Schizosaccharomyces pombe: one gene and its partners. The gene in region 4 interacts genetically with the main gene of each other region. Each region holds a gene or a part of one and is shown on either strand. Other genes may lie near its edges.

Region 1 (7,593 bases), on a different chromosome or scaffold from region 4:
AAGTTGAGGAAATAAACAAGCTGAAGAAAAAAAATCTTCATTTTCGACAATGCAGTGCTGACAGCTTGTCGAATTCCTCAATGCAGTTTGATTTGTCGGGCCTAAATACACCGGTTGGAGAATTGGCAACTTCTAACCTCCCTTCACCCGCTCATCCTCCCTTTGGTGAGCTTCATCAAGAATCTAGGACTTCTAATTCCTCTGCGATGCATATAGAGAATGTGGTTGCTTCCAGGCTTATGTATAATGAGGTTGCGAATGGCTCCTTTGCCTTGGAACCAAAGAATATACTAGTTGTAACGAAACCTCGAAAGCATTCGTTAGTTTACAAGACGGCAGAAATCACAAAATATATACTCACAATCGGAACACCGGAAACCAAGGTATATGTGGATATGAGACTAGCTCGTTCCAAGCGCTTCTCTGCTCATAACATCGCTAAAGAAGCAAATACCGACATTGACCGGATCAAGTATTGGAATCCGTATATTTGTTTGATTAAACCAAGTATTTTTGACTTAGCTATAACAATTGGCGACAACTCTACATTATTGTACACATCGTGGTTATTTCAAAAAATTGGGCCACCTGTTCTTTCCTTTTCCGATGATGATGTCCCTGGTTTTTTGACTCATTTTAGTTTATCTAACTATCAGCAGCATTTGTATCAGGTCTTAACTCAAAACGTGTCACTCAGGTTTTGTTCGCGGCTTCAGTGCTCTTTTCATAAATACGATGAAAAAACTAAGCAGTATTCTTTGGCTTCCACAACATACTCTCTTGATGAAATACTCATTAGTAGAGGAGAACATCCATTTATTAGTAACTTGAATGTTTACAACAATTCCGAACTTATGACTGTGGTTCAAGCTGATGGACTTGTTGTAGCTACTCCTACAGGATCCACCAACATCTCAGCGAATGCTGGTGGTTCTCTGGTACATCCTGCACTAAATGCGATTTTAGTAACACCAGTTTGTCCTCATACGCTTTCTTTCCGTCCTATTATTTTACCAGATTACAATGTTTTGAACGTTGAGATCCCTTTGGATTCTCGAAGTAGTGCATTCTTTTCCGTTGACCGTCATGAATCTGTGGAGATGCATAGAGGCGACTATTTATCAATTGTTACGTCTCATTACCCTTTCACAACCATTCAAAATCCAGGATACCAATGGACCAAGGTATTAGAAGATAAATTCAATTGGAATGTGCGTGAGCGTCAAAAGCCCTTTTCTAGAAAACCAAGCTTGAGTGATGTTAAGGATACAAGTGACGATAAATTTGATATTACAGATAATTCCTATTGCAGAGAATTTTCTGCAGACATTGATGGTTAAATTGCTATCCATTTTTCTTTTAATGACATCTGACTACTGTTGAAAATACTTAAAATTAGGCACACACTGCCTCTACGAATCATGGCGAATTATTGGTTACGATTGTTTAGATATCTGTTAGTTTTTTGAAAGTTTATGTTAATTATTATTATTATTATTATTTCAACTTTGGTATTAACGAATTTATATTCATAATGTTTACTCATTGTTCAGTTCATACTCAAAAGCCGAAAAAAAAAAGAAAAATGAATGTTAAGGATCCCTCGATAAATATGTAAAATATTTTTATAACAAAAAGAACGTGTGTATATATAACAAGAAAGACATTCGTATTATGCTCTGTAGTCTTTGATTTTCAACAACGACCTATGGTTTATGGCTCATGAATAATACCAGCTTATTCGCTAAAAAATTAATCAGTCTGTGCAATTGAACGTACAATGCGATGTCCAGCACTGGTAATAACCTTAATACGTCCTCGCCTTTCCAAAGCACCCAGACAAGCTTCGAAATCAGAAGCATCTAAGCGAGTAGAACTCTGCTCACGAAACCGAGTTAACAATTGACTGACCAACATAGTTTTTCCACCCACAGTTAAATTTGAAATTAAATTCGCCAGTTCTTTGACCATATCTTCAGGTACCAAAGTCTCTCTTTCATTAACATAAATTAGGTCAAGAGAAATCTTTCCTGTTGCAGGATCAGTTGCATAATCCTTAATAGCGGTCTTAATCAAGCGAGCAGCTTCAAGAACATCTCCTACCTCAACAACGTTGCGAAGATGCATTTTCGCATGGGCCTCAGATAGACGAATCATTGATTCCAGTTGTCTTGTTGTAGCAGTAATTCTTTTCTCAGATGCTCGCACATCCTCCCCAAGCTTTCGCATACCAACATAAGCATTCACTAGTTCCTTTGCTGCCTCTTCACTAATGACAGGATTAATATTATTTCTAGCATATGTGATATAGCTTGTCAAAAATTCCACACTAAAGACCTCCATATCTGTAGCATGTTCAGGAGTATCTTCCATGTACATAGAAACAATATGATTTGCGAGCTTCCTATCCAGCGTTTCATCCACGCGGTCTAATATTAAATACACCAAATCAAATCTAGATAAGAGAGTAGGCGGAAGATCAATATTTTTGGTGACAGGCAAGTCTGGATTGTATTTGCTTCCAATTGGATTTGCACTAGCTAAAATAGAAGTCCTAGCGTTCAAAGTAGTAATAATGCCAGCCTTGGCAACTGTAACGGTTTGCTGCTCCATAACTTCATGAAGAATAGAACGTGTAGCATCGGACATTTTGTCAAACTCATCAATGCAGCAAATGCCCCCATCTGACAGTACCAAAGCACCACTTTCCAAGACTAGTTGCTTCGTGTCTTGGTCACGAGTAATATAGGCAGTTAAACCAACAGCAGATGAACCCTTGCCACTAGTGTAAACACCTCTGGGTGCTATCTTATGGACATACTTCAAAATTTGAGACTTAGACGTAGATGGATCACCACACATCAAGATATTTATGTCTCCACGATATCTCGGACTTGCGCCTTTATGAAAAGACTTGTTCGTTCCACCAAATAGCTGTAGCAAAAGCCCCTTTTTAACATCATCCATTTCGTAAATGCTAGGTGCCAGAGACCGGGAAAGAATATCGTATATATCGTCCCGCTTTGAAACTTGTTGAATTTTTTCCACTTCTTCGTCTGATATTTTCCGTACTTCATCAATTTGTAAAGCAGCATCTTCAGCAATATCGCTTTCCAACGTAGAAGGATCCGTACCCAAACGACGTTTGTCCTGCTTTTTTATGTGAACAACGTCGACATAAGTTTTAAATAATGATTTTACAGTACGCATGCGAGGGTTCAAACGAACTGGTACACAGCGAAAAATCCCAGTGACTTCTATACGATCTCCTGCTCTAGCAGAGTCAACCAGTTCATCATATACGCACAGACTTACAGAGTGTGGGGTTTGGCCATCCGGTACCACGTCAGGTGTCTCTTGGAGTTTAATAACTTGCTTATCGGCGAATTCAGAACGATTATGAATTAGCTGCATTGCATTTGTAGCACCACAGACTTCTCTAGGGCATTTTATGGGCTCAGCAATTCGCCCTCTATCGATTTCCACGGTAACACAATGACCACAAACTGAACATCGAAAAAATGCTTGCTTCATGTCGGGTATTACAGGTGTACACCTAAGTACCAGACCTTTAATAGAGATCAATTTGTCAATGTCACCAGGATTAAGATCACGCATATTAATGCATTTTTCAAGATTAAAAGGACGAATTTTGTAAATTTTAAGCTCAATGTCATTAAGAACATCTTCGGGAGGATTAGTTCCTAACAAGTCTAGCATAACGTCTTTAATGGTTTGATCCATGATAGGAATGATTTCTTGAGGGTATGAGTAAAGCTGGTGATATAGCTTCTTGGTTGGGGGATAATGCTTTAAATCCTGAACATCAAGATTTAATATTTCCAAACCCATAATACGCATGTTTCGTAGCGCTTCAATATACACTAGTTGTTCGGCATCAGGAGGTGGCATAAGTTCATTTCTGTATTCAGGTCGATACTTTTTCTTAAACCCACGTAGAAATCCACGAAAGGAAGCGATACTTTCTTGAATAGATACATTTGTTCCCCAAATGACACGGACAGTGTCATCAGCTACTTCACTGCTTGGGTGCGCCTGACTAAACGTGAGTGCATCTGACCCAGAAAACAACAAGCTACTAGGAGTGCTTACCCCGGGACGTTGAGGGTCAACTTCTCTTCGACGAGATGGGGTAGACATTTGCACGCTAGAATGGATGTCTCCACGTCTTGTCGAGCGCGGTGTTCTCTGCGAACTACTGTCAAGGAACAAGTCATTACGCTGAGATAAAAGATGAGAACGTGAACTCTGAGGAATGTTTGGACCTGGTGAACTAGATTCAAACAGTAAAGGAGAGGAAGCGAGAGGTGTACGCGCTGTAGTCCTCGGTGTTGTAAGGCGTGTAGAACCAGGAGACGAAGCAGGAAAAAATAACGGAGAAGAATCCACTGCTTCTCTTGAAGAGCTGTTAGCTCTTCCAGGAGTCCTCAACTCATTGGCTCTGCCACTTTGCTGACTAGAGGACATGACTCGTGGTGGGTGTAGAAAGACAGTGTAAGGGAGTAGAGTAACTACTCATAAACATACAACAATGAAGAGATAAATAGCATAGCAAAGATTTAAATAATTGGAAATTTGTATAATTTTTTAACAATTTGTCATATTCTCCATTGATCATCAAGCTACCAGTAATTGACTATGAAAATGTAAACTAAAAAACTTTGCGACACTAGATATTAGGATCAATTAAAGCAAATTTGTTATCATAAATAAGGTATTATGAATTTGTTATTGACTTACTTCCTTTTAAGTGATATTCTATTTTTTTGGACGAATGAAGAGAAATATGAAAAGAATGTTGAAATAAAGGATTACATTGCTTTAATTAAACGTTATGCTAGTTTAACATTTTGAGATGATCGTTTTTGCAATTTGGAACTACCAGTTGTATTTGAAGGTCGAATCTATTAACTGTGATTTGACGCTAATTGAAGAGGGCAGATGGTGATTTAGTAATTTTACTAATAATATTTCTTAAAATAAGGTTTATTTTGAATTTTCTCTCATATTGAATACCTGAGTTGTTATTATATTAACCATTTGTAGAGTTCATTTGACCATTCGACTACTGGACTGTCTCTAATAAAAAAAACTTAAGTCTGTATATTATGAGTTATATGGTGTGAATTTCAAATAGTGTATGAATGTATTTTTCTATTATTTCTAGTGAAATACCATTGTGTAGGACGCATACTTTTTCTCGATTATGTTTTGCTCTTCAAAACCTGAAAGGATTATAGACATTTATTGTATCTTGATTTTCTTCTATGTATAATTGGTGAAAACTGGTTTATTCTGTTTTACTATTGATGCCATTAACGATGATACAAAAATTGGCTTATGTCTTTTCAAGGCCCTTTAAGAGATGAATTCCACTGCATAGTGGAACGTTCCTTTTCCTTTTAAAGTGTAGTATTAATTTGCTATTAAAACATCTTTTTAGGCGAAACCATCAAATGCGGCTTGATAAATCAGCTTCAAATATTAGAGCAGTTAACCACCTAAAAAGATTGTCTATTACATGATAAAAGATGATTATAGTGGCGACAATTAGAAAATTAAATGATTTTGAGAAATCATGTCTATAGACATGATACGTTTGTGTGGATTACTTTGCTCACTTGCACTGTGTACACTGCATACTCAACTATACCACAACAATTCACAAGGTCAATAATCGTGAGCTTTTGAGTTGACAAAAAATAAATTACAAATGGAATCAGTTTTTGGAAGAGTAAGAAACGAGACTAGCGAGAGAGGAAAGTATGGATTAGTCTCCGTAAAAGCTGGAAAACTTCAAAGAAAGCCAGGAACGAATATTCTGCAAGCTGATCACCGAAAAGGGTATGTACTATAATAATAATATAGATAGTAGTCCTTTCTACTGGGAAAACGAAATTCTACCCAAAGAATTGTTTATGAAGCTTCTTTGCATGTTTACGTTGGAAGGATGCGTGAAAATCCACACTGTTGGGTTTTGTGGAATTGTTTTCTGTTTATAAAGTTAAAAGATCTGATTTTTAATACTGACATTTGTTTAGAGTTATCTATATGCAAATGGCTTCTGATGAATTATTGCATTTCTATTGGAAAGAAAGGGCCAGGGTTTCTAGAGAAGTAGAAGATGTATGAAGACAATTTAAATCAATTGCAAAGTATACCTATTTATATATATAAATTTACTTTTGCGTTTTTTTTTTTTTAATTTGGTTTATGTTTACTAACATATAATGAAGGACTACATCATATTTCCAGAAGAAGCAGAGTTTATCAAAATTGATGAATGTACCACGGGACGCGTATATGCACTAAAATTTAAATCCTCTTCGCAGATTCATTTTTACTGGATGCAGGAGTATAGTGATGAAAAAGACAAGGAAACAGCTTCCTTAATCAATCAATTAATTGCTGACCCTGTGAATACGACTCGGACTATCAACTCACATAATAATTCTAGCAGTAGAGGTACGGATGATTCATCAACCAGCCAACTGCTGCAACTGTTTGGTGCAGCAAGCCAAGATGCTCTGCAAGACTTTAACTGGGAAGTTTTATCACCTACAGCCGAAGCACCGGCTATCCTGCCAAGATTTCCTAACGTTAACGAGTCAGCAAACATGTATCGTGCGTCAAGTGAGTCGAATTTGAATGGACCACATGCTACAGCTGGTGAGAATGGCGAAGATCACGAGGAGGCAACGGCCTCCCCTTTGGATGAAAACATCGATTATACTCATTCACGTACGTTGGAATTATTAGAGCAACTTCAGCCCTTGATTTTGAATGAAACGACGTTTGTCGAGCCTTTCTCCATTGACAGAGAATCTCATCGTGTGATTACACATCCTAGAGTGTATCCCAAGATTTTCCCACATTCTCCTTCCGACCTTTTGCGCATCAGCGGTCGTGCAGAGTTGAGCGAAAATCGAGATTTTTTTAAGCACTTGTCGAGTTTAATGGAGGCAGTTGCAAAACCCGAGTCAGAGTCGTTGCGTGAAATTTGCAACTTGAGTTTAGAGCAAGTGCAAAGTGCTAGTGGAGCTGAATTATTTTTGCATGCGTTGTACGACCGTTTGGTGAATGAAGGGGTGATTGTGATTTCGCACATAACACAAGAAGGTTCTGATGGCGAAGTTGAGGAGGAAGGAGATGTTGAAATGAGAGAAAGTAACGAAAAGGACGAATAAGAAGCGTGGAGAGGAAAAGACGAATTCGTATATATATATTTTAATATATGTTATGTTTATGAACAACAAGCTAGCACAAAGAACGTGATGTAATTGTAAAAGTAGAGTAATCGTATTTCAACATTTAAGCTTCCTTTTTTTTTTTTTTTTGTTTATTTGTTGTTGACGGGAGAGGATTGTTGCAAAGTACTTGTAGGGGTATAACAGCTTGTATAGGGAATGGTTTCACCTTTCTCGTTTATCTGATATTCTTCCAAATTTACAATGAATTATATATCAATTGCATTAAGCTACATATCGCAATATCATTAAGAATTCAAGAAATACTTCTCTTGCGTGAAAGAAGTCTTTAAGCTGCTTGAACATAAATCAAAAAAAAAATAAA
Region 2 (7,404 bases), on a different chromosome or scaffold from region 4:
GATGGCTTCTTCTCACGGATCTACTACAGCAACTGGTAGTGCTGGAGGGTTTTGGGGAGGTTTGTGGAACCCAAATGGTAATTGTGTAGTATGCTGGGGAAGAACTGGTGGATGGAGACTCTGGAAGCAAGATGCTGGGCAATGGCTCCAACTTCCATCTATTTCTGGTCACACAAAGTCAGTGAAAGGCGTTGCTTGGGATCCTGAAGGTAAATTCTATTTATCCGCCGGCACAGATCAAACTACTAGATTGTTTGCACGTTTTAAAAAGGATAATGCTTGGCATGAAATGGCTCGACCTCAGATCCATGGCTATGACTTAACCTCTATATCCTGTATGCCTTCTCGAATTGGATTTTTGAGCTGTGCCGATGAAAAGGTGTCTCGTGTTTTTAAATTCCCTAAAACAATTGTTAGACTTCTTTACCGTTTATGCGATACCAATATTGGGGAGGAAAGCTTACCTGATGCTGCAAATGTTCCTTTACTAGGTCTTTCTAATAAAGCTACCACTGCATCTGAAACTGGTACGGTAAATGCAGAAGAAGTTCAGACTCCTGTTGCTGATGTGATTGGTTCTTTGAACCATCCTCCTTTTGAAGAACACTTACAGCGTTTGCTATTGTTTCCGGAAGTTGAAAAATTATTCGGCCATGGTTATGAGGTTTATGCATGCGCCATATCTAATAATGGTAATATTGCCGCGACTTCTTGTAAATCACAAACCCCCGAACATGCTGTCATTCGGTTATACGAAACGCAGTCATGGAATCAGCAGCAAGTCCTTAAAGGTCATTCTTTGACGGTTACAACTATAAAGTTTTCACCTGATGACCGATACATTTTAAGTGCTGGGCGGGATCGGTTGGTGTGTTTGCATGAGCAAGCCGAAAATTTATTGGATTATAATAACTTTGCTTCTATAAAAGCGCATTCTCGTATTATTTGGGATGCTAGTTGGGCTCCCAAAGAAATGGGTTACTTTTTTGCGACTGCTTCGCGTGATAAATTCGTGAGTAATTTTTTATTTGATCAAATCTTGCTAACTATTTAGGTTAAATTTTGGAAAATCAATGACAATAAAAAAATATGTGATGTTGCTGCTCTCCAATTTTCTGATGCTGTTACCGCTGTTGACTTTGCTCCGTTCTTTCACAACGATGAACTCTTGCTTGCGGTAGGAACTGAAGCTGGTAAAATATTTATTTGGAGATGCCCGAGAGAGAATCTTACCAAATGGTACCCAACACGTTTACCAGACCACATGGCTCCTATGGAGTCAATTAACCAAATTTTATGGAAGCCCACTTTTGAAACTATGGGGTTGTATTCTCTTTTAATTGCTGGCGAAGATACCAGTGTACGACTTTTGAACGTTACGTTGGGATAAACTTGAAAATAAGTACAATTGGTAATGTTAGATTGGGTTGGCCTGTTTTAAACATACCTGAGGGGTGGTTAAAAATGCTTAGATAAATTATTTATTGTTATAATTGTCGATAAATAAAAGGAAGGTTAATGGGTTGTTAGGTTGGCATAATTAGTGCTGAATGGTAGACATTCATCAGATTGATTCATTACTTTAGTTGTTATATATATATATAAATATGTATTTTTAATTATTAGTATCAAAAACTTTGGTGTAGTAGTCTTCTCAATTAACTCAAACACAATTTTACATGTTAGAGAAAAAAACAACACATAAAAATTTTTTTTAAAAATAAATTATATTTAAAAGGTAGATAAGGCAAGATTTTAACTAAGAAGTATTTTCAAGCGTAATAGAATGCAAGTTGTAAATCTAACTAAGAACATTGATTACTTCTACGAAATTTAGTTTATTTTTTTTCCCTTTCTATTACTCGTTTACATTTATTGAAAGAACGGAGCAAGCTAGGAAGTAATTTATATTCAACTGAATGACTGCATTTTCGGTAGTGTCCAAAAGTAACACTTACCAACTCCAAACATCTATTTTGCAAACCTAAGTCTTAATAAAGATACTTTTTATTAAAGGCTATATTTTCTCAGGTTTGAATTTGTTGACTCAACGAGTTAATACTTATATACTCCGGCCTTGCTAAATCGATATTCTGTAAAGTTTGACAGTGTTGTATTTGCCTACAGGCTTAACGAGTAATTACTTATTATTTATTCAAAAAAGGGAGAAAAGGTACTAAGTACAACTTTTGAGTTTTAGAATTGGAGTTTTGGGAGAGCATTTGCTGTTTATTTATCTTATACGCTCCTTTAATTTTTGGCACCCCGGAGGAACATGAGCCAAGATCAAGAAGAAGACTACTCCAAACTTCCTCTAGAATCAAGAATAGTACATAAAGTATGGAAAGTGCGTCTATCTGCTTATGAAGAGTGCAGCAAATCGTTTTCACTTTCAGCAGATGGTTCGGATAATTGCTTTGAGCTTTGGAATAATCAGAGTGAATTGTGGAAATCAGTGCTGACTGATAGCAACGTAGCAGCTCAAGAAGCTGGTACCGCAGCGTTTGTAGCTTATTGCAGGTTTTCCGATCCTTCTCATTTACTTAAAGCTCGTGAAATATCAGTCCTTTCAATTTCAGAGAAATGCTTAACATCACCTCGCGCAGGTACAAGGGAAAATGCACTAGAAGCTCTTATGCTATTAGTTGAAGCAGATTCAGCTGCGCCAGTTATAGAATCAATCATTCCTTCTTTATCGGCTCGATCCCCGAAGGTAATAGCTTCTAATGTCGCTGCCATTGCTAGTCTAGTTGAGCAGTTTGGTGCTAAAGTTATTCCTTCAAAAATGATTATTCCACATATCTCCAACTTGTTTGGTCATGCTGATAAAAATGTTCGTAAGGAAGCATCTCGTTTAACTGTAAACATTTATCGGTGGACAGGGGATCCTTTAAAAGATTTACTATTTAAAGATCTAAGACCAGTTCAGACGAAAGAGCTTGAGTCTCTTTTTGCTGAGCTACCAACAGAGCCTCCCAAACAAACTCGTTTTTTGAAAAGTCAGCAACCTACATCAGAGCCGAATGTTGAAACACAGGTAGAAGAGCAACCTGCTCTCGAGAATGAAGAAAGTGAACCAGAACCGTCAGATGATCAATTTGATTTGGTAGAAGAAGTGGACGTTTTACCCAATGTGGATCCTAACCTGGAAACTTTAATGGCTTCTTCGAAATGGAAGGATCGTAAGGAAGCGTTAGACAAACTACTTCCTGTCTTATCTCAACCAAAGATCAAAGACAACGATTTTTTTAATTTAGTTGCTATTCTCACAAAGTCTGTTTCAAAAGACGCAAATATCATGGTGGTTATAAATGCTGCACACTGTATACAAGCGATGGCTAAAGGTTTACGCTCAAATTTTTCGAAGTATGCCTCAACATCTATTAATGCACTGTTGGAACGATCCAAAGAGAAAAAGGCTAATGTAATCGAATCACTATCTTCTGCGATGGATGCTGTTTTGGCTACATCCAGTTTGGATGACTTAGCCGAGCTCATTGCTAGCTTTGCCGGGAACAAAAATCCTCAAATCAAAAGCTCCTGCTTTAGTTTGTTCTCGAGATCTTTCAGTAATATGACATCCTTACCATCTAAGTTTACAGTTGATACCTGTGCTAAAGCATGCGTTCCTGGTGTTTCTGATACCTTTGAGCCGGTGCGTAGTGCGGCAGCAGAAGCCTTGGGTGTTTTGATGAAACTCGTTGGTGAAAGAGCCATTAATCAGTATTTAAGTCCGTTGGACGACATCAGGAAATCTAAAATTCGTTCTTTTTATGAAACAGCTACAGTAAAGGCTAAGGCACCTACAAAAAAGTCGAAAGTTAAACCTTCAAAACAAGAAGAATCAAAAGTCGTCGTACCTTCAAATGCTAAGGCTGTCAAGAAATCCGTTGTTCCTTCTAGTCCAGTTGTACCATCTCCACGAAAGGCAACTAACAAATCGCTTTCCATGGATGTATCAAAGGGTAATGCATTTGAGAATGGTCCTTTGTTACCAAGACCGACTACGAGGCCAGTTTCTCGAGGGCTTTCACGAGGCACATCTTCCAGTTTGCAACAAAAAGTAAAAGCTTCCACTCCTTTGAATTCGGGAGCACTTAACGAAACGGTGCAAAATTTGAAGAACATGGAGTTGGACGATCCGGCTCCTCAACCGGCTAAGCATTCACGAGTTGATCGTTATGAACACCCTAAAGTATTAGAAGACAATGACTCTACCATTTCGTCTTTAGAATCTCTGAAGAGAGAAAACGAGGAGTTACGAGAGCAGTTGAAAGTTGAACATGAAGAGAATATTTCTATGCAAAAACAACTCAGTGAATTGAAAGGTGAATTAAATACCTTACGCAGTGCCAGGAAAGCCTCACCAATAGGAGACAGAAAACCTGCATTTATGCGAAGAGCTAATACTGACTTTTTAGAGCTCTCTACGAGTCCCTCATTTCAACGTTCAGTGAGGGAATTTGAACCTACTAGACCTAAACTTTATAGCTCTATAGATGTGAATCAGAGATCCCCTTTAGCATCTGCGAAAACAAATGGTAATTTCACGTTTCATGCTGAATTACCAAGATCACCGTTTTCGTCAAGGGCCAATAATATCAATCCTGATTGGACTAAAGCCATTGATTTAGCTGCCAAACTAAAACAAAAAATTACTGAGATGAAACAAACAGACCAAAGACATCAGGGATTGATTCACTAGTTTTTAAATTCTTTCGTTTACATTCCAATGTCCCTTACTTCCCTTTCTATTTTTTAATGTTTTAGAATAATGATAATATCGGTTTACAAAAATAATAACAAAATACGTATTCTCGTTTATACCAAATTTCTTAAAATCAGATTTAACTATAGGTTAAAGATGGAGTCAAATGGTAACTCAAACACACAACACAAACAAACATATAAAATAAATAAAAGAATTTTAACGTACGAATTTATCGCATTAAACGTATTAGTGTCATTAAAAAAAGTAGTCTGTTTAATTTTGCATCACAAGTATACTGTATAGCCGTACCAAGTATAAACGAAAACCTCTTTTTAAAAAAATTAAACATAATAAAGAAATTGTTAGAAGAAAAAAAATAAAGATATGCGTAAAGTACAGACAGTCGAAAAAAGAGTAACAATCACATGAGTCTTTGCCCAATGAAAAGTTCTAAGCTTTGTTCAAAAAGTCCGGAGGACTGATGTTGCTAAAGTAGTCCAAAGAAGCGGTGGAAGGAGTATCGGCATCACCATCATCGTCCTCCAGGTAGAAATAAGAATCACGATAAGGGGAATAAGGCGGTAAATGGGACAATTCCGACTCTAATTTCCTATGAAACAGATATATAGGAAGCTTAAAATCCAAGGAATCTAGCCACTCATTTAGTTTTTTCGCATTTTTTCGAGAGTATTTAGATAAATTTGGTAGGGAGGCTTCGGAAGGAGAGGCTAAAGATTGCTTTACGCTGTTTTCAGTATCGCCATGCCAGCTTCCAGAAAGCGAAGAAGATGATGATGAGGGTCTTTTCATAGAAAATAGTGAATTAGATTTAGCTTTGTGAGTCCGAAGGAATGGGGGAGCGAGTTTTCGGGATAAAGAGGAGGGTTCACGAGAGTGAATTGATACATAAATTGAATGTCGCACAAGGAGGTGTGGATTTTCTGTACAGCTTCCGTGAATTAAGTCGTTCACAGGAATTGTGAACTCAACTCTTGAATGGAGGCCAGGAACAATAGGTGGAGACCACTTACCATCCTCAAAAAGGACAGTAATGGAGTTTCGAAAAGCATCATTAAAAAGAAAAAAGGTAATGCTTTGGACAAGAAGCACTCGTATATAATAGCGTTTTAACTTCTTTTCGACTACAGGAGACGAGGTACGAGATAATGAAGAGCGTCCTTTCATATCACAATCATTACTCAAACGTGGTAACCGATCTTGAAAGATAAATTGAGAATCTTGGGAGTTAATAGCAATGGGATCTATATGGGGATCATCTGTTCCAGCAGAACCTGGGGTAGATGACAGTACATCTGCATCTTCGGACTCCAAATCAATTAAAAGTGGGCAAACACAGCCTGGTCCTTTATAGCACTGTTGAGGATATTTAAAGAACGCAGTTAGAAATGAATACTTTGAAGACTTCATTGATAGCGAAGTAAAACACGCATCGTTTAGGGGCGCTCCATAACGTATGTGCTGAGATTCAGGAATTCGATCGGGATTGAGAGTAAAAGGTACAACTACAGGAACATTGGCTGACTTTGGCATACGACAATCATCTTCAGTATACAATTTAACCGTTAATTTGTAAGAAATCGAACCTTCTTGAGTCACAATCGTTCGTGGGGTGCACCTAGGAAGTGGAGCAATGATATCAAACGTATAGAAAACTCCTTCCTTTACTTTGAAATTATTTCCAAGATCCCAGTCGATATGATTGAAATGACACTCCAGCGGTAACTGTCTCTCAGTAGGAAACTTTTTCAGACCAGTAAAGCTTGCAGTAAGGTATTTACAATAAAATGTATCAGTTGTCACAAAGTACACCTTGTATTTAAGGATAGAACAAGGATGCTGAACTTCTTGAAAGGTGTCAGAAACCGCTCCTAAAATATGTATTTTGTCTCTCGAATTGTCCATGTAAATTAAGGGCAGAGACAATCAAGGGCACCAAAAAAGAGACATTTCAACGTCAAGCTTAACCTTACAATCCTTTAACAAAGAATTGAAAAGAATACTTGGCAATTTATAGTTTTCGTAAATTAAATGGAGGAGATGTTGTACGAGATATGTCATTTAAATGAGAGGGTCATAACAATGAAATAACGAAGCTTCAGTATAATTAGTTCTATCGTTATCATTCACCATATGAGCGGCGTTAGCTATCATTATACAATGAGTGCTCTTTAGTAACGTTGGGCATGAGACTGATACTCACAATATGACATGCAAGTTAATCCTTTATTCCAAAATAAAACTTAATAAAAAGCATGAAGCCCAAATGAACTCTCATTCTTCCATTAGGTCGATAAAAGTTATTATTATATTTATAATGGTATACTCTATAGCCCTAGTCATACTAAGGATAGCAAAGTAATATTACCTCCATTATATTATACATTACAAAGAAATGCCGACACAGTTTTTCGTATCCTTACAGAGAGTGCAAAAGACATACTAATTACTGTTGCTAAGCTCCATATTTCTGATACTGAGGCACAACGAAGTTTTCACTTAACTTTAATGAAATTTATCATCTCGTAAAATGGAATGTAAATACAGGTGAACGGGTAAGGAAGTATTAGCTTTTCAGTTGTTTGAGTAAAAAAATAATTTTCAAATACATGAATTATGTTGGTAAATAAACAATCTTATTCAGCACCTCCTAAAGCAAGTAGACGCGGAGTTAA
Region 3 (6,642 bases), 2.2 Mb from region 4:
ATTTGTATAAAATAATACCCTGGATAATTTTGTATTTATTAACTATAGTACTGCTACACCGTAATATTATATTAATTAGTATATCCATTGGAACTAAATTGAGTAACTAAGAATTAGTCCGACCTAATAAACGCTAATAGTCAATAAATTGGCTTAGAATTGTCTGAGATAATAAACTCTTTTAATATTTCAAACGATGAAAAGTTTCGATTAAGAACTCAAGAATGAACAGTAATGATTGATTTAACGTAATATAGCGCAGTTAAACGTTTGCCGACATCTTAGGTCAATGTATTTTCTAATACTAATAGTGCTTGACTCACTGTCTTTTTGAGCTTCTCTATAGATTAAAGAGGTTTTAACCTTATCATGCCAGTCTTTACCAAGGAAGCTTTGGAACGGCTTCCTATCCAATTAGGAAACTTTTTTAAAAAGTTTCCGCCTGAAAATCCAAATGCATGGACGACAAATCCAAATCGTCAAAATCCGTTTCTCGCAACTCGAAATCCTCAGAATGGCCTTGTAATCAACCCTTACTATTCCAATAGAAGGCAAGCTGAAATATATAAAGAGGCCAGGCTTCAGAATCTGGATAATTTACTCCCCCAACAAATGTCATGGCAGAAAGATTCTACACGCCATATTTTGAAAGGTCTTCTGAATCCTAAAGGAAAAATTAGTGAACGAAAGAGGGATGAGATTTTGGAAAATAGGCGTTTAAAACTTTCGGAATCATTGAAGAAAACTTCTAAATTTAAAAATGAGCGCGTATGTAAACTGTTGTACTTTCATGATTTTCTTATTTCTATCTACTGATTTTGATTGTGAAAAATTTACTATTATTATTTTTTTAATTGTCTTTATTAACACTCTTTTTAGCAAAAAGCTAGCAAAATAGCGAAACCTTCTCCTTTCTAAATTCTTCTTCTGCAAAGTGGGTTTCACGTAATACTGTTAATACCTTTTGATTCCTGTTTGTTTATGACTTCCTTAAATTTTTTTAAAGATTCATTTAAATTTACTGCTATATTACCTCAATTATGTGTTTACTAAAAGTCTTTTATTGTGCAGCATGATAAAAAGACTAATATACTAGTCTATACATTTTTGTAATCTTTACTAATAATATGATTCTACTTTAATAGTTAAATTACATTTAAATATTAGGTTTTGAATCTGCAGACTTAGGATTTTAGAATGTGATTTATTCGTAACTTTTCATTATGAAGTATCTTGTTATCTTTAATTTTTAGGAAGAGCGCATTTAAATATAAAAAAAATATTTAGCACTTTCTCAAAACTCATTACTTGTGAATGAGTAAGTAAGTCATTATATGATTTATGTAACTTTCTAAGCTTATTAGTGCATTTCAAAGCCGACGGAAATTCGTCAAAGTGATTTTAAGATTTTGGGGCATTAAAAAAAAAGATGGACAGTCGAGTAATTTTTTTTTCATCGGAAATTGGGAAAATGCAACTTCAAACAGCATTTTCAACGTCTTCTTCTCCTTCTTCATCTTCTTCACCTTCAAACATTAATTCATTGAAAGACTTAATCAATGGACTAGGAGAATAATCTTGAGCATCTTCCTCGTCAATCCCCTCGAATTCTTGATATCCGAATTTCGTATTTTTGGGTGTTTTGGGCGACTTGGATGTGCTTTTATTAGTATCGTCTTCTTCTTCATCGCTAAGTTCAAGCAAAGGAGATCTCCAAAAATTCACATCAGTAAAGCTTGAGACTTCATCTCGGGTGCTAACCTCGATGGGAGGGAAGAAATGATCGACAAGCTCATTCATGTAAACATAACTACTTCGGTGACCGCTTCGCTGCAACAGTTCAATATGGACTTCGCCAGCAGAATTAATGGTAAAAATCCTAGTTGGTGGAACTCTGACATGGTTATAAGATATTGCGTCTGTAATACGATTGCCAAAGCCGGCGTAAAATGGTGTTCGAGGAACAGGTAAGGCGAAAATATTACAAAGATCACGCAAACAAGCCATTTTAAATACTTCTGGCTTCCTTAAAATTACTTCTCTATGAAGAGCAGCCATAGTGCGATCAGGTGATAAAATAACAGGACCATCGGGTAGAGAGTATCCGTTCTGTTCAATATTCCGGAGATAATGTCGAGTAGAATCGGCTTGGCCTACCGAACGACTAGTTAAATACATAATTTTGTAGCCGTTGTTAGTGATATCGGTATACAATTTGGCAACTCCAGCATGAGTCCAATCCTTGCCGATCAAGGTAAACATATGCCCTAGAGCATCAGATTTGGTAATTGTTCCATCAATGTCCGATATAACGACAGGATCGTTGTGTTTCCAAAAAAAAAGATTAGCAGTGCAAATGGCCTTACCCCCGTTGACTCCAAAGGAAAGCTCATTTTTACCGGGCTTCAAATTTAATGAACGAAGCTGATCAGAGGTTAAACGAAGGGTTTTAGCATATTGAGGATATGACTCGGAAACTGGGCTCAAAGACTGTTCAGATAAAGAGTGTCGACGGCTTAAATCAGAGTCCTCATCCATTAAAGCCGAATCGGACTTTGGAGACGCAGGAGTGCGAGATGGACTTGCAGGAGGACTGTGTCCATAGACCTCCGCAAACTTTTTGGCATCTTCAGAAGCGTGAAACCACAGATTACCTTCTTCATCTTCACGCAGAAGCTTTTCAATCATGGGAAATTCATCCTTGAATGTTTCCCGTGCCAACTCTGCAATGTTTATATTCGCAGCAGAAGATTTATAACCTGTCATGTCAAGCATCACATCACCATTATCCCCAACACGTGTAGGAAGTTCTTTCCCAGAAAGCCTTTTCCCCAATTCCTTTGCCTTTTGTAACAATCGTAAGTCTGCTAGCGTTGTTGCAGGCATCGACGGAGTTCTATCACTTCCAGCCATTTCCAAACAACTCGAATGTCGAAGGTGCTTAAAGCCGGTTGGAGGTGTTTGATCGGCATCGGATTTCGAACGGCGAATTAAATCTCGAGTAAGAGGGAACTCGTAACCGTCCTCCATCAAATAGGTATTCGATTGATCTTTCTCATGATCCTGAGATACTTTATCGAGCTCGAGATCTTGAGGCTCAGTGACATTCTAAAGCAAGACTGTTAGTAATTTTCGTGATTGAGATAAACTAAAAGCCGAAAGTAGTTGTGCAGAATTCTGATACCGTATTCATTAAAATATTGCACATAACTGTTTTCCACCGGACAAGTCAGCCCCAGTTTACTTTTGTACATACAATGGATGGTGTTTGCTTTGGCGAAGTGGTAGGCGACACAATGGGAGATGTTTGAAGTTCTCGTGGAACTGCATTCTCAGTAGCAAATACAAAGAACGCTTCACCTCCATCCCCAAGTTTCATATTAAACCCAGTCAATTGACCATTGACCGAAAATTCAACCTTTTTGTCTGAGGGCAAAAGCAAGCTAAACTTTCCAAAGCGAACATGAAAAGGTGAACATGCTAATGTTTTATCCTCTTGCTCAACCACAATCACGTCAATGGCTCCAGAGAGAGTCGACTATTTACGAACACTGTTAGCATATTTGTTCAATTGTTTAACCCATCATTTCTAATTATTGAGAACTTACTGGATTAATTGCATTCCACGTCTTCGTAACAGAGTCAAACGCTCGTCCTACATATTGCATCGTGCAGCAGCTACGAACAGAGGTAAATGGGATGACTAGCATACCATTATGAGCAAAAGCGTGGGAGGAAGGGCGAGGCAACATCTATGGTCCCTGCGGTCTGTTACGTTATTTGACCTTACAGTCCCATACTATAACAAAAGTAAGCAATGTAAACAAACCACCGAACTTCATAACACTGAACTTGGAAAAAGCGACATTTTTCTTTTCTTTTATATAGATATATAATTTGTTTAGAAAAAATAGAGATTTTTTTATGAAATTTGGATTTTAAGGACCATTCTTGTTTTTGCAGGGTCCCACGCATAAGTCTCAAAGTAAAGATATTAGGAGAACTTTTGCATCCCTTTTTATGTTCCTTTGATTACTGAAGGGCCATTATTTGAAAATACACACGAATACTTTTGATTGTGGCTTCCTTTGCACGTTTTAATAATATTGTGGCACATCATTAACCATCACATTTACAATATCTCTTGTCATGGAAGAAAAGATTTCACAGGCGATTGACGATCCGAATGTATTTTGCTTTCAGGAATTATGGATTGAGTGCCAAGAGGTCCAGAAATCACAGCCTATAGACAGCGCCGTTCTAAGGACACTCGAGATATTCTGCAGAGGAGATATCAGAGATGCCTCATCTGAATGGAATGAATTGCGTTTCAAAAAACTTCGACTTCTTACACTTATCGATTTGGCTAATAGACATGTTGGAAGTTCCGTCTCATTTGAAACCATATTGGTTCATCTACAGTTAGATCGGCTTCCTCCCTCTGATCCTACCTTCACGGTCGAATATTATATCATGCAGGCCATGATGAATCAAATTTTAGTGGGAAAAATTAATGCAAAAACTCAGACTTTACATGTATCTTGGGCACTTGAAAGATTTCTCGATTCCAAAAGGATAGATGAAATGAAGTATTCCCTTGACCGCTTCATCGAAAGGTGCTCGAATATCCTTTTTCAATTAGATGCAGGAACGCCCAGTGTATCAAAGTCTTTTAAACGTGCTAGTCGCATGTCAAGTAGCGACGGAATCGATTACATGGTGTTTGATAAACGCCCTCGTCCGGACGATACTGACTTTGATCTATAATAGCATACAAAAACTTGTTTCCTCTCCTAAAAGCCATCTTATCAATATAAAGGTTGTTTCGAGGATATATGGACGGAACAATATAGTGCAGATGTTAATTACAAAAGTTGAGGATTTGACAAAATTAAATTTCGTATAGACGTTTTCTTTTATCTTACACCTGCCCTATTTTTTCCTTTCATGGTTCATCGAGATGTAAATTCAAAAGTTGGTGGTCTCGTTACTATGTTTTTTTTGTCTCGCATATACATTATGAGCGTTTTATGGTAGATAATGATTTTTTTAATAGATCTAATTAATATTTTAAAAATGGGTTTTGGTCATATAATTTTCATGCGATGATATAATTTGCTGCGTGTAAACACAACATACTATACTCAAATATAGACTGGAATAATAAGTATACTAATTATCGAGAAATGGTCGACATCAGTTCGTGCACAAAAAATAAACAATACTTATTTCCCTTTCCTTTTACTTGAATAAGTGCTCAAGCGAACTGCTACGTGCCAACTTTTGTAAACTTCATAGTTATGCTTTTTTTGACACCAATTCAACTTCATGCTTAGCTTTTCGTTACATTACCTTAGTTTCTTCTTGTTAGTTGCGTACAATCGGCGCACCCTGCCTGTTAGACTAAGATAAGATATATGGTGGTTAGATTAAATGCATCCTTCAGCAACTTACCGATAAACGTCTCAACACGAACTAATTTACAAATCCTTAGTCGGAAAGTGTAAAATTATATCGATAAAGTGAAAGGAAGCGTATCGGAGATATCACTCTAGCGTTGTTCCAACTATGCAACCCAGAGAGCTACACAAATTAACGCTTCACCAGCTGGGATCTTTAGCCCAAAAAAGGCTGTGTAGAGGGGTAAAGCTTAACAAGTTAGAGGCTACTTCACTTATTGCATCTCAAATTCAAGAATATGTTCGCGACGGTAATCATTCCGTAGCAGATTTGATGAGTCTTGGTAAAGATATGCTGGGTAAACGCCATGTTCAGCCCAATGTCGTTCATTTGTTACATGAAATTATGATTGAAGCTACTTTCCCTGATGGAACCTATCTAATTACCATTCATGATCCCATTTGCACTACAGATGGTAATCTCGAACATGCTTTATATGGAAGCTTCCTGCCCACGCCAAGCCAAGAACTGTTCCCTCTGGAAGAGGAAAAGTTATATGCTCCGGAAAATAGCCCTGGTTTTGTTGAAGTCTTGGAGGGCGAGATTGAACTATTGCCTAATTTACCTCGTACTCCCATCGAGGTACGAAACATGGGTGACAGGCCAATTCAAGTTGGATCACACTATCATTTTATTGAAACTAATGAAAAACTATGCTTCGATCGCTCAAAGGCTTATGGAAAGCGCTTGGACATTCCGTCAGGTACTGCTATTCGATTTGAACCTGGCGTAATGAAAATTGTCAATTTAATCCCTATCGGTGGTGCAAAACTAATTCAAGGAGGTAATTCACTTTCGAAGGGTGTCTTCGATGATTCTAGGACTCGGGAAATTGTTGACAATTTGATGAAACAGGGATTCATGCATCAACCTGAATCTCCGTTGAATATGCCATTACAATCTGCACGCCCTTTTGTTGTTCCTCGTAAATTATACGCTGTAATGTATGGTCCAACAACGAATGATAAAATTCGTCTGGGAGATACAAATTTGATTGTGCGCGTGGAAAAGGACTTTACTGAATATGGAAATGAATCTGTTTTCGGCGGCGGAAAGGTTATACGTGATGGTACGGGACAGTCTAGCTCAAAATCAATGGACGAATGCTTGGACACTGTAATTACAAATGCTGTAATCATTGATCATACCGGTATCTACAAGGCTGACATTGGCATCAAAAAC
Region 4 (8,801 bases):
GATGAGGATATTCCCGATGGCACAGAACAGGAAGGTCTCAGTGATGATGAACACGAAATCTATGCTTACTTTGAAACACCTACCACAGAAAAGGCAGTAACAGAACAGCTAGCTGAGAAACTTTGCGTCGATGCGTCTGGCTATGTAACTGATCCTTCGAATCTCATCGAGAGAAGCTATACAATTCATTCGAAAAGATTTTCGATTAAAAGTATCATTAGTGAGCTATGGGAGAAAGAAGGAGCTAGGGGTTTATGGAAAGGTCATACAATCAGCTTTTTGCATAACTTACTTTATTCCGGCCTACAGTCCTGGCTTTCGGCAACATTATCTGGAGCTCTCGCAATAGCAGATCCAAACATTATTTCACCTATAGATTCTGTTCGGCCTCTTCTTTCCCTTTTCATCAAATCCATTACTTCTGCGATCTCTGCTCTTATTCTATCTCCCCTTGATATTGCCAGAACAAAAATAATTCTTTTCCCCATTTCCTCATCTTCCTATTTGTCTTCAGCTTCTGAAACTTCTGGCAATTCGCATAAAAAATTTAAACCTCTTACTATCAGACAATGCTTGAAAGCATTGCCTTTTTACTGCCCTTCATCGTTAATTTTACCCACAGTTTGTTATGTCAGCTTACCACCATTTGTTTCGAGTGTGCTTCCACTAACATTCCGCAACTTTTTGGGCTCATCTCCTACACTTGATGCAATGGTTGGCTTGGGCACTTCAGCCGTTCAATTTCTTCTCAAATGCCCTTTAGAAATGGTACTTCGAAGAGCACAAGCCCAGTATGAATGCAACCTTCCACCCCAAACTATCGTTCCCGTAGGCAAATACACTGGTATCGTCGGTACCATATGGTGTCTTTTAAGCGAAGAAGATCCGGGTAAATTTGGAATAGAAGGTTTGTATCGTGGATGGCGAGTGGGTATTTGGGGAATGTCGAGTACCTTAGCATTGAACTACATCTCCTCTAATTTGCGTGAAGAAGTTGAATTTTAGTATTCAGGTTTTGGGTCTGATTGTCTGTTTATTAGACAAAGTCAGAAGAGACGAAAGTTCACATGGTAAATTACGGAATTCTCAAAAAGGTTTTAGTTAGGTGATGTTTTGTAATTTGGAATTTTTTTTATTCCAAATTACTACACGAATAGTCATATTTGTAGTTGTAAGTTTGATTTATGTTTAATGTTTTCGTTTTTCTTTCTTACCGTATTCTCTAACGGAATAGTAGTAGCTACATAATTTATTAAAGGTAATAATACATTTTCTAGAAGCAAAAACGTAGTTATGTGAAAATACGTTGGTGTTTCCTTTAGCAAGGTTGCATAACGCCAGCATTCAATAAAAAGGACTTCAACGTCGCATTGAGATCTCTTACACGAGACTTCATAGTGTTATTCAAGTATAGCTGCTCGTTCAATTTATAAACAGTATAAAAAATGAGGCAACCCAAATCCTTACAATGCTTTAATTTTCTAATTTACAACACTGCACGGAAAGTTGAATCTCTAAAGACTTTATGCTTTTTTATTACTTTTTTATATAGTTTGAATTGCAATCAATAACAACTGGCGCCATCATTTTGCTATCTAACACGTTGAATTACGGGCCATGTCATGTCAAAAACCCTTCTTGCTTTTCAAAAAAAAAAAAAAGAAAAAAAAGGAATTAAGTAAACTTCTCAAGTAACAGGGATAAATAACATCCACAATTAAGTCAATAGTAAAAGATACCAAATATATAATTCCTTTCATATTTTAAAGTTCTAAGCTTAAATACGTTTTTGCTGAAGAATATCATAGTTCTTCCTCCTCCATAGTAGGCATATCGACAGGTTTGATCATACCAGGAACAGTCATAGCTTTCTCCAGTTGGGCTTTTTGTTGAGCAGCCAACTCTTGTTCTTTCTCCTCCAAGTAAAGTTCAGCGTTATCCCCGCCGAATTCTTTCAATTGAATTAAAAAGTCACGTAAAGCAAGTTTAAATTTGATGCTGTCCTGATTAAGAGCTAGCACTGTCTGTACAAATTCTTGGATTTGGATAGGTTGAAGATGGGGGAAAGCTGTGACTAGTAGATTCATGATATACTGTCTTAAAAATAATTGATTGTTCATTTCCTGGGGGAATTGAGAAGGATCGTAGAGAGGTACAGTAATCTGGTTTGATTCAACCAGATAGAAAAGCCGAGCCAAAATTAAGCTTTGAAGCTTAAAGCCAGATTTGTGATCAGAGTCAGTCAAAACATACAATATATCTTGTAGTAAGCTAATATAATAAGTTTGGAAAAATGCATTTGAAACATCAGGTCCCATACTCGCCATGTTATTAATAAGTTCAAGTAAGATGTTAAGTCCGGTTTCTTGAATGTCGCGACTAACATGCTTAAAGGACCATACAATACTATTGATCACTAGTTTGAATTGTGGTGCCGGGATGTTGAGCAAAGCGGGGAAACAATTCAAGTTAATGGCGCGTAAAAGTTGAAAAAATGCTGCACGATGTTCGGGGTATTCCGAAAAATCTTTACTAATCATTTCAAGGGTGCATCCAAAAACAGCATCAAGAACAAGAGGAATCTTATCAGTAAGGAGTTCGCTAAGTTGATTGACAATGGTGGTTATCAAATTAAGAACTTCGGCATCACGAGCGTCAGGAACATTTTGTAAATAATCAAGCAACACTGCTTCGAAAAGCGCAGGAATGAGAGTATTTCCGACCAACTCCAAATCTTCCGCTCGACTTATATAAGCATCTACTAATTTCAAAATTTCTTTTTTGATAGTTCGTAATCCCCTGACGTGGGGAGTTTTGGTAGCAATATTTCCTTGGGCAGCAACCACTTCTGATATTAAACCGCTAACAGCCTTGTAAAGACCAAGCATATCTACATAATTTTTAGCAATTTGAGGATAGAAACCGGAACCAATAGAAGTACATGCAGCAACGTTTGTCTTTAGAACATTTGCTAATATTTTAACGGTCTGAGGGTCCCCTAAAACTTGAGCGTTTTGTGCAGCCTGAGCGACAATATTTTCCCAGGCCTGATTGGGTAACGCCATAAGGTCAAAAATGAGACGTTCTTGAAGATGTTTTTGAGGTTGAGCAGAAATCATATAACCGCACGCCTCATAAAAAGTATGAGTCTGTTGAGGAGTTAAATCTTCAGTCGTCTTGGCCAAGTTACGAATAATTTCGTTGATAAACGGCTCCGTTTCTCCCAGTTGTTGAGCAACAAAATGGCGACGACATTTTTGAGCAATCTTAATGAATGTATCACAAGCCATATCCTGAACACCTTCATGATATTCGTGCATAAACTCAAATAGCTTATTGACGACGGTCTTGAGAAATTTCCAATGAGCTTTTAAAAAGCGAGGATATTGACCTACAACGTACATAATGTTAGAGGCAACAACAGCCTTATTATCTTTGCCACGTTTCATTTCACAAAGGCCCAATAAATCTTTAATCACGTTAACAAGAAAGCGCTTTTCCATTTCTTCATTCATAGCACCGGATATTGAGCCGATTGCCCAACAAAGAGTATTCAAATTTTGCCAAGACCATTCTGTACCAACAACAATACGTGCAAGTTTTTCAGTCATAACGATTTCAGTATCAACCACGTCCAAGTGAGTGAGGTACACAAGAACCTCACGCATAGATTTATAAAGGGTAATTGTATCCGTCTCTTTAACAAATTCACGAACAATTTCACCTTCGTCATTTTCGACGATGAGGACTTCTTCGGGCTTGACCATGTTTTCAATCATAACCAATCGAAGAGTTGAAAGTATATCTTTATAGATATGTTTCCTTAAAGGAAGATTGGCTAACATATTAGGATTAGAAGAAATGAGAGATGTAGGACTAGAAAGATTAAGTAATGGATTCATTTCAGACATGGGGATTTGCTGCATTTCTTCATAAAGCTGAGCTACTAATTTTGACCAATATTCCAGGCAGATCTTGAAAATTTCTCGCTCGTTAATTCGCGAGATATTAAGAAGGTAGGAATGAGCATTAAGAAGGACTTCTTGATTTTCAGGATTTTCTAATGGTCGAAGATGAGAGCTAAAGAAAGCGCAAAGGAAGAGAGCCAAATTTTGGATAAAGTCTTGCTCGTTTGTGCTACTTTCTTCATAAGCCTCACGAAAATCAGTTTGTAAAGGAAGCATAGAATTAACAGAGGTCATCACAAGGTTAAACATTGTAACAAATTTATCGTTGTACTGAGGTTGAGAAGTAAGACTAGCTATTTCGGTAAGACATTCAATGGTAACGTTTCTAAAATCAGGAACATTTAGGAATCGATTTGTAATTAACTCAACAATGTTTGTTTCAAATATATAGCCAAGGGGTATCCAATTCAAAAATCGGAGAAGTGTTCCCAAGGTAGCCTTGATTAGGCTAGGTTTTTGCGCACGTTCGAGAATTTGTGAGCATAGTTGAAAAATCTCGGCGAATTCGCCACACATTTGGTTTTTTAAATTTTTGGTTTTGAGCTGAGTCATTTGCTCAGCTGAGTAATCAAAAATTTCTTCACTCAGAAGACGAAGGACTATCATGTTATTTTCACAAAGTGAAAGGTTTGTTTTACTGGCTTGGACAATTTCCGGGATGAAGTTGGGCCAATTATGAGGCCATTCTTGTTTAAGAATCTGAACGAGAGTGAGGTCCAATTTATTAAGAAAAGTTTTTTGTTGTTGCAGGACAGTTTCGTCTGACGAGTTCTTTATCATAACAGCAACAATATAATTGCGAATTCCCAATCGCTGCTCCTTGGGAAGCATTTTCCAACGAGTGGTGATAAGCTTGTCAAGGACGGAAAGAGCGATATATTTAGTTTGGGGATATTCTGATTTTTCCAAGATGGAGTAAGCCTGCGACCATGCATCTGGATGTGCCTGAAATTGGGTCAGGACTTGTTGAGCCTGTTGTTGCTCTGCACCGACACCTTGGTAAAAGGTTTGGACAACACGATCCAAAAGGGCAACGTCTAATTCGCGATCGAATGCCAGGATGCCCTCCATATTTACAAATCAAAAAGCAAAAAATGTAAATTGATGGTTGGCAACGTATTGAACAAATGTCTTAAGTAAAAAGAAAAGGATAATTACCTCAACCTTATGCGATTGTATATGTATAAAGGACTTCAGCAATCAAGTTAGAAATTTGAAAAAAAAAATAAAAAAAAGTAGAAGAAAAATTAATTTTATCGAATAGAAACAAAATAATATAAATTTTTAATCTCCTACTTGCTGATTAATTACTCCTCCCTTGCAAAAATAATAGAGAAAAAACAATAATTAACTCAAACAAGAGATCGAAGAACAGGAAATCGAAAGATAACAAGATCCTTCCTAAAAGAAGACCAAGGAAAATAACACGTATCTACACGAGCGTTCAAAGTGCTTACCTCCTTACTATAAATAAAAACCAAATAAATATTCCAAATTCTCTTGTTTATAACGAAATTCCTCGTCCCAAGAGATGCTTCACGCGATAGAAATTTGTCTTGTACTCAATGGAAACAAGAGAATGAAAGAATGTATACAGTTAAAGGCTACTGCCTAACGTCCCAGGGTAGAAATGCAAAAGAACAAGTGTTGTGTTGGAGGTAAAAGGTGTGGCCGCAAGGCTGGCAAAGAAACACGAAGAAGAATAGCAAGCATGCAGCGTATCCAATCGTTTTGCGTTATCTATTTTAAGGAAATTTAACAACGTGATTATAGGCAGAAATTGATGGGAATGAAGTAAACATAAAATGGAACGAGAATGATGGCGATAAAACTGAGTGTATCAGCAGATTGCAATTTTTTAAAAAAATGGTATTAGTTTTGAAACAAAATTTACTTCCTCCGGTAAGACGTTCGGTCGTTTCCGTGAATGGGAGAAATGCGGTAAGAATTTGATCGTAACGTCCGCGTTTAAACCAGAAATAAATGTGTCGTACGTGGATTTTTCTGTTTGTTTGTTTTGAAGTATTTAGCAAAGACAGGTCATTTGAAAAACATCAATTTATTTTTTTAAATTTTTTTATTATGAATTATTAGGTATTTTATGGTTTAATTATCAATTTACAAGTCAACGAGTAAATCAAAACAGAAGGAAAGTTTATCATTCAGTAAATTAAAAATTGTTATGAATTTAAAAAAATTGAATTACAGCTAGAATCATGTTTCCAAATTATTTTAACCAAGTTTATGGAACATCGGCACGAAATAATATACTTATTACTAAAGATTTGCCATTTCATTGTGCTTTAGTAATTCGCCTTTTTTGCTTTAACTCCTATAGCCACACAACAAAGATGTTGCTTATGTAAATAAAGGCGACTTTCCGTATGAAATGCTTCGCGGTTACAGCCACAATTCTATATGGAAATAGAAAAGAATGAAAATTGAATTAAACTGATCATGTTCGTTATTAACTCGCAGTTACCCGACATTTAGTGTGTTAAATAAAGAAAAGGGAAGGAAAAAAAAATCATTAAACCAAATATTGACCTTTGGAGTTGGCATGGCTCTCAAGGTATAAAAAATCCAATGCATTTTTTTTAACTAATTTATACGATTTTAGTCAGGTTGTGTACATATACTCTAATAAACCCAGACAATTTACAGTACACGCAACTATTTTTATAGATATATACCTCTATTTAATTAGTTTGTACAATTAAGCGGCTATGCCCGAGTGGTCTAAGGGGGCAGATTTAAGAGGCTTCTGCCTTGATCCCTGCTGTTGTAAAACGCGAGAGTTCGAACCTCTCTGGCCGCATTATATTTTACATTTTTAAATGTAAAATTAACGTGTTTTTGATTTACAGTTGAACTAAATTTTTTTCAAATTTGTTGAACATTTTGCTTTTGTTTATTCTTTTTTTTTCTTCTTTTTCATTATTCTTATCTGCAACATTTCCTTATCAAGCACGAAGAAAATTTGAATTGATAGGCGCTTTCATCCGACCAGCACTGTCCTAAATATCGCATTTGTTTGCCAAAGCCCGTATATAAATTATGTATTTCGGTGACTTTTTGTAATACCGGTTTCTGCTTTTCTGTGATATGTTGAAGTAATAACATTTGTAGAAGTATTTATATAGACCATTTCTTACTTAATTCCCTGTAACAATTGTTGGATTCAATTCTGTGTTTTCCAATTACTCTGTTCTCACGGCTAATATTAATTTTATTACACATATATTCAGCAAAAAACAAAAACAAAACAAAATTAAATTAAGCATAGCATCAAGTGTGTGCCAAAAAATCGTCGTTTTCTATTTATTTTTTACTATTTTGTTTTGATATTCTATAAAGGTCAATTGCCAAGATACTCCCAGCTCTTCGTCTTTGCTTGCACATTATTCAAAACTCTGTGCATTCTATTGTTTGTATTTCAGTTAGTATTGTTATTGCTATCGATTTTCCCATCTAATTTTCAAAACAAATTAACACTGATTCTATCGGCCCTATTTACCCACCACTGCATATTTTTAAAATTCCTTAAATTCTTTTTCCTGGCTACTAATACGCCTAATAAATATTAAAGATAAAGAATTCCCTTTTAGATATTAGTTCTTGCTTTCTTTTTTTATACAAAATTTCTGTTTTTTTTTTCGAAACTCTTCTGTAACAACAATGACTGCTACATCTTTTCTTCACCAGGCAAAACAGCAACCCCATCATACTGAACCTTACATTAAAGCGCTTGAGGCTCGTGAATACATCATTGAACAAGTCCCCGAAGAGCTTTCCAAGCCCAAAGTTGCCATCATTTGCGGTAGCGGTTTGGGCACATTAGCCTCTGGATTGTCGGCTCCAGTTTATGAAGTTCCTTATGAAGATATTCCTCACTTTCATGTTTCCCATGTTCCAGGTCACGCATCCAAATTGTACTTTGCCTTTTTGGGCGAGAAACGCGTTCCCACTATGATTTTGGCTGGTCGTTACCACTCTTATGAGGGATATCCTATAGAAGCTACCACGTTTCCTGTTCGTCTTATGAAAGTCATGGGCGTTGAAGTCATGGTTGTTACCAACGCAGCTGGCGGCTTGAATCAAGGTTTCAAAGTTGGTGATTTGATGATTCTTAAAGATCACATCAATTTTCCTGGCCTCGCGGGCATGAACCCTCTCAGAGGCCCTAATGCACACGAATTTGGTGTACGTTTCCCCCCATTATCGGATGCTTATGATTTAGAATTACGAAAATTGGTTTACGATGCTGCCAAGGCTCACAAGGTTAGCCGTACAATTCACGAAGGTTGTTATGCATTTGTATCTGGTCCGTGTTTTGAGACTCGCGCTGAAAGTCGAATGCTTGCTCTTATGGGAGCTGATTGTGTCGGCATGTCTACGGTTCCCGAAGTAGTCGTTGCGCGTCATTGTGGTATTCGTGTTCTTGCCATTTCTTTGGTTACCAACAACGTTGTTGTTGAAGAGAGCCCCTCTGCCAAAGACTTAGTGGAGGTTGATTCGAATGTCATGTCTAAGGGTGCTGCAAATCACTTGGAGGTTTTGGAAGTTGGTATCGCTGCCGCGGCCGATGTTCGTACCATGGTGGAGACGATTGTCAATTTTATTTAATCACTCCTCTTTGACAATCTTTTTTATCCAGAATAAAAATTTCCTTTATCTGTTATACATCCTTTTAAGCTATTTTATTTATCTAACGTAGGATATATATCCTAGTCATTTCGCTTATTTTGATGTCTGTAAATTAGATGTTTTGTTGCCATTCAATATCTTTTCCAAAATATCCTTTTACTCATCAATAACCGTTTCTTGCTTTCT

Evidence for each region.
Region 1: of crm1 (region 4) and mcm4, changing one suppresses a phenotype caused by changing the other (phenotypic suppression), as found in Schizosaccharomyces pombe (one study listed by BioGRID).
Region 2: of crm1 (region 4) and alp14, changing one suppresses a phenotype caused by changing the other (phenotypic suppression), as found in Schizosaccharomyces pombe (one study listed by BioGRID).
Region 3: of crm1 (region 4) and ned1, changing one suppresses a phenotype caused by changing the other (phenotypic suppression), as found in Schizosaccharomyces pombe (one study listed by BioGRID).

The regions. Positions count from the first base shown.
Region 1 is NC_003421.2:897,297-904,889, reverse strand, and holds mcm4 (MCM complex subunit Mcm4/Cdc21), read right to left. Parts: upstream 4,503-7,593; 5' UTR 4,489-4,502; coding exon 1,753-4,488; 3' UTR 1,465-1,752; downstream 1-1,464. Other genes in the region: SPOM_SPCC24B10.02C (NAD/NADH kinase), read left to right, coding at 1-1,340; 19S proteasome regulatory subunit rpn1302, read left to right, coding at 5,735-5,865, 6,063-6,147, 6,258-7,208. UniProt on the Schizosaccharomyces pombe protein: Acts as a component of the mcm2-7 complex (mcm complex) which is the putative replicative helicase essential for 'once per cell cycle' DNA replication initiation and elongation in eukaryotic cells.
Region 2 is NC_003421.2:1,009,487-1,016,890, forward strand, and holds alp14 (microtubule polymerase alp14), read left to right. Parts: upstream 1-1,956; 5' UTR 1,957-2,275; coding exon 2,276-4,705; 3' UTR 4,706-4,828; downstream 4,829-7,404. Other genes in the region: elongator complex subunit Elp2, read left to right, coding at 1-1,012, 1,055-1,390; SPOM_SPCC895.08C (uncharacterized protein), read right to left, coding at 5,162-6,634. UniProt on the Schizosaccharomyces pombe protein: Required for bipolar spindle formation and proper chromosome segregation. Has a role in connecting the kinetochores and the plus end of pole to chromosome microtubules. Also required for the activation of the spindle checkpoint pathway.
Region 3 is NC_003424.3:4,988,172-4,994,813, reverse strand, and holds ned1 (lipin, phosphatidate phosphatase Ned1), read right to left. Parts: upstream 3,687-6,642; 5' UTR 3,669-3,686; coding exon 3,609-3,668; intron 3,539-3,608; coding exon 3,257-3,538; intron 3,109-3,256; coding exon 1,480-3,108; 3' UTR 1,185-1,479; downstream 1-1,184. Other genes in the region: mrpl25 (mitochondrial 54S ribosomal protein mL59), read left to right, coding at 370-768, 880-918; csn71 (COP9/signalosome complex subunit 7a), read left to right, coding at 4,150-4,767; nickel-dependent urease Ure2, read left to right, coding at 5,569-6,642. UniProt on the Schizosaccharomyces pombe protein: May have a role in the maintenance of the nuclear envelope structure and in minichromosome stability.
Region 4 is NC_003424.3:2,800,746-2,809,546, reverse strand, and holds crm1 (karyopherin/importin beta family nuclear export signal receptor Crm1), read right to left. Parts: upstream 5,624-8,801; 5' UTR 5,426-5,623; intron 5,160-5,425; 5' UTR 5,040-5,159; coding exon 1,803-5,039; 3' UTR 1,294-1,802; downstream 1-1,293. Other genes in the region: transport protein Ugo1, read left to right, coding at 1-1,005; SPOM_SPAC1805.16C (purine nucleoside phosphorylase), read left to right, coding at 7,647-8,594.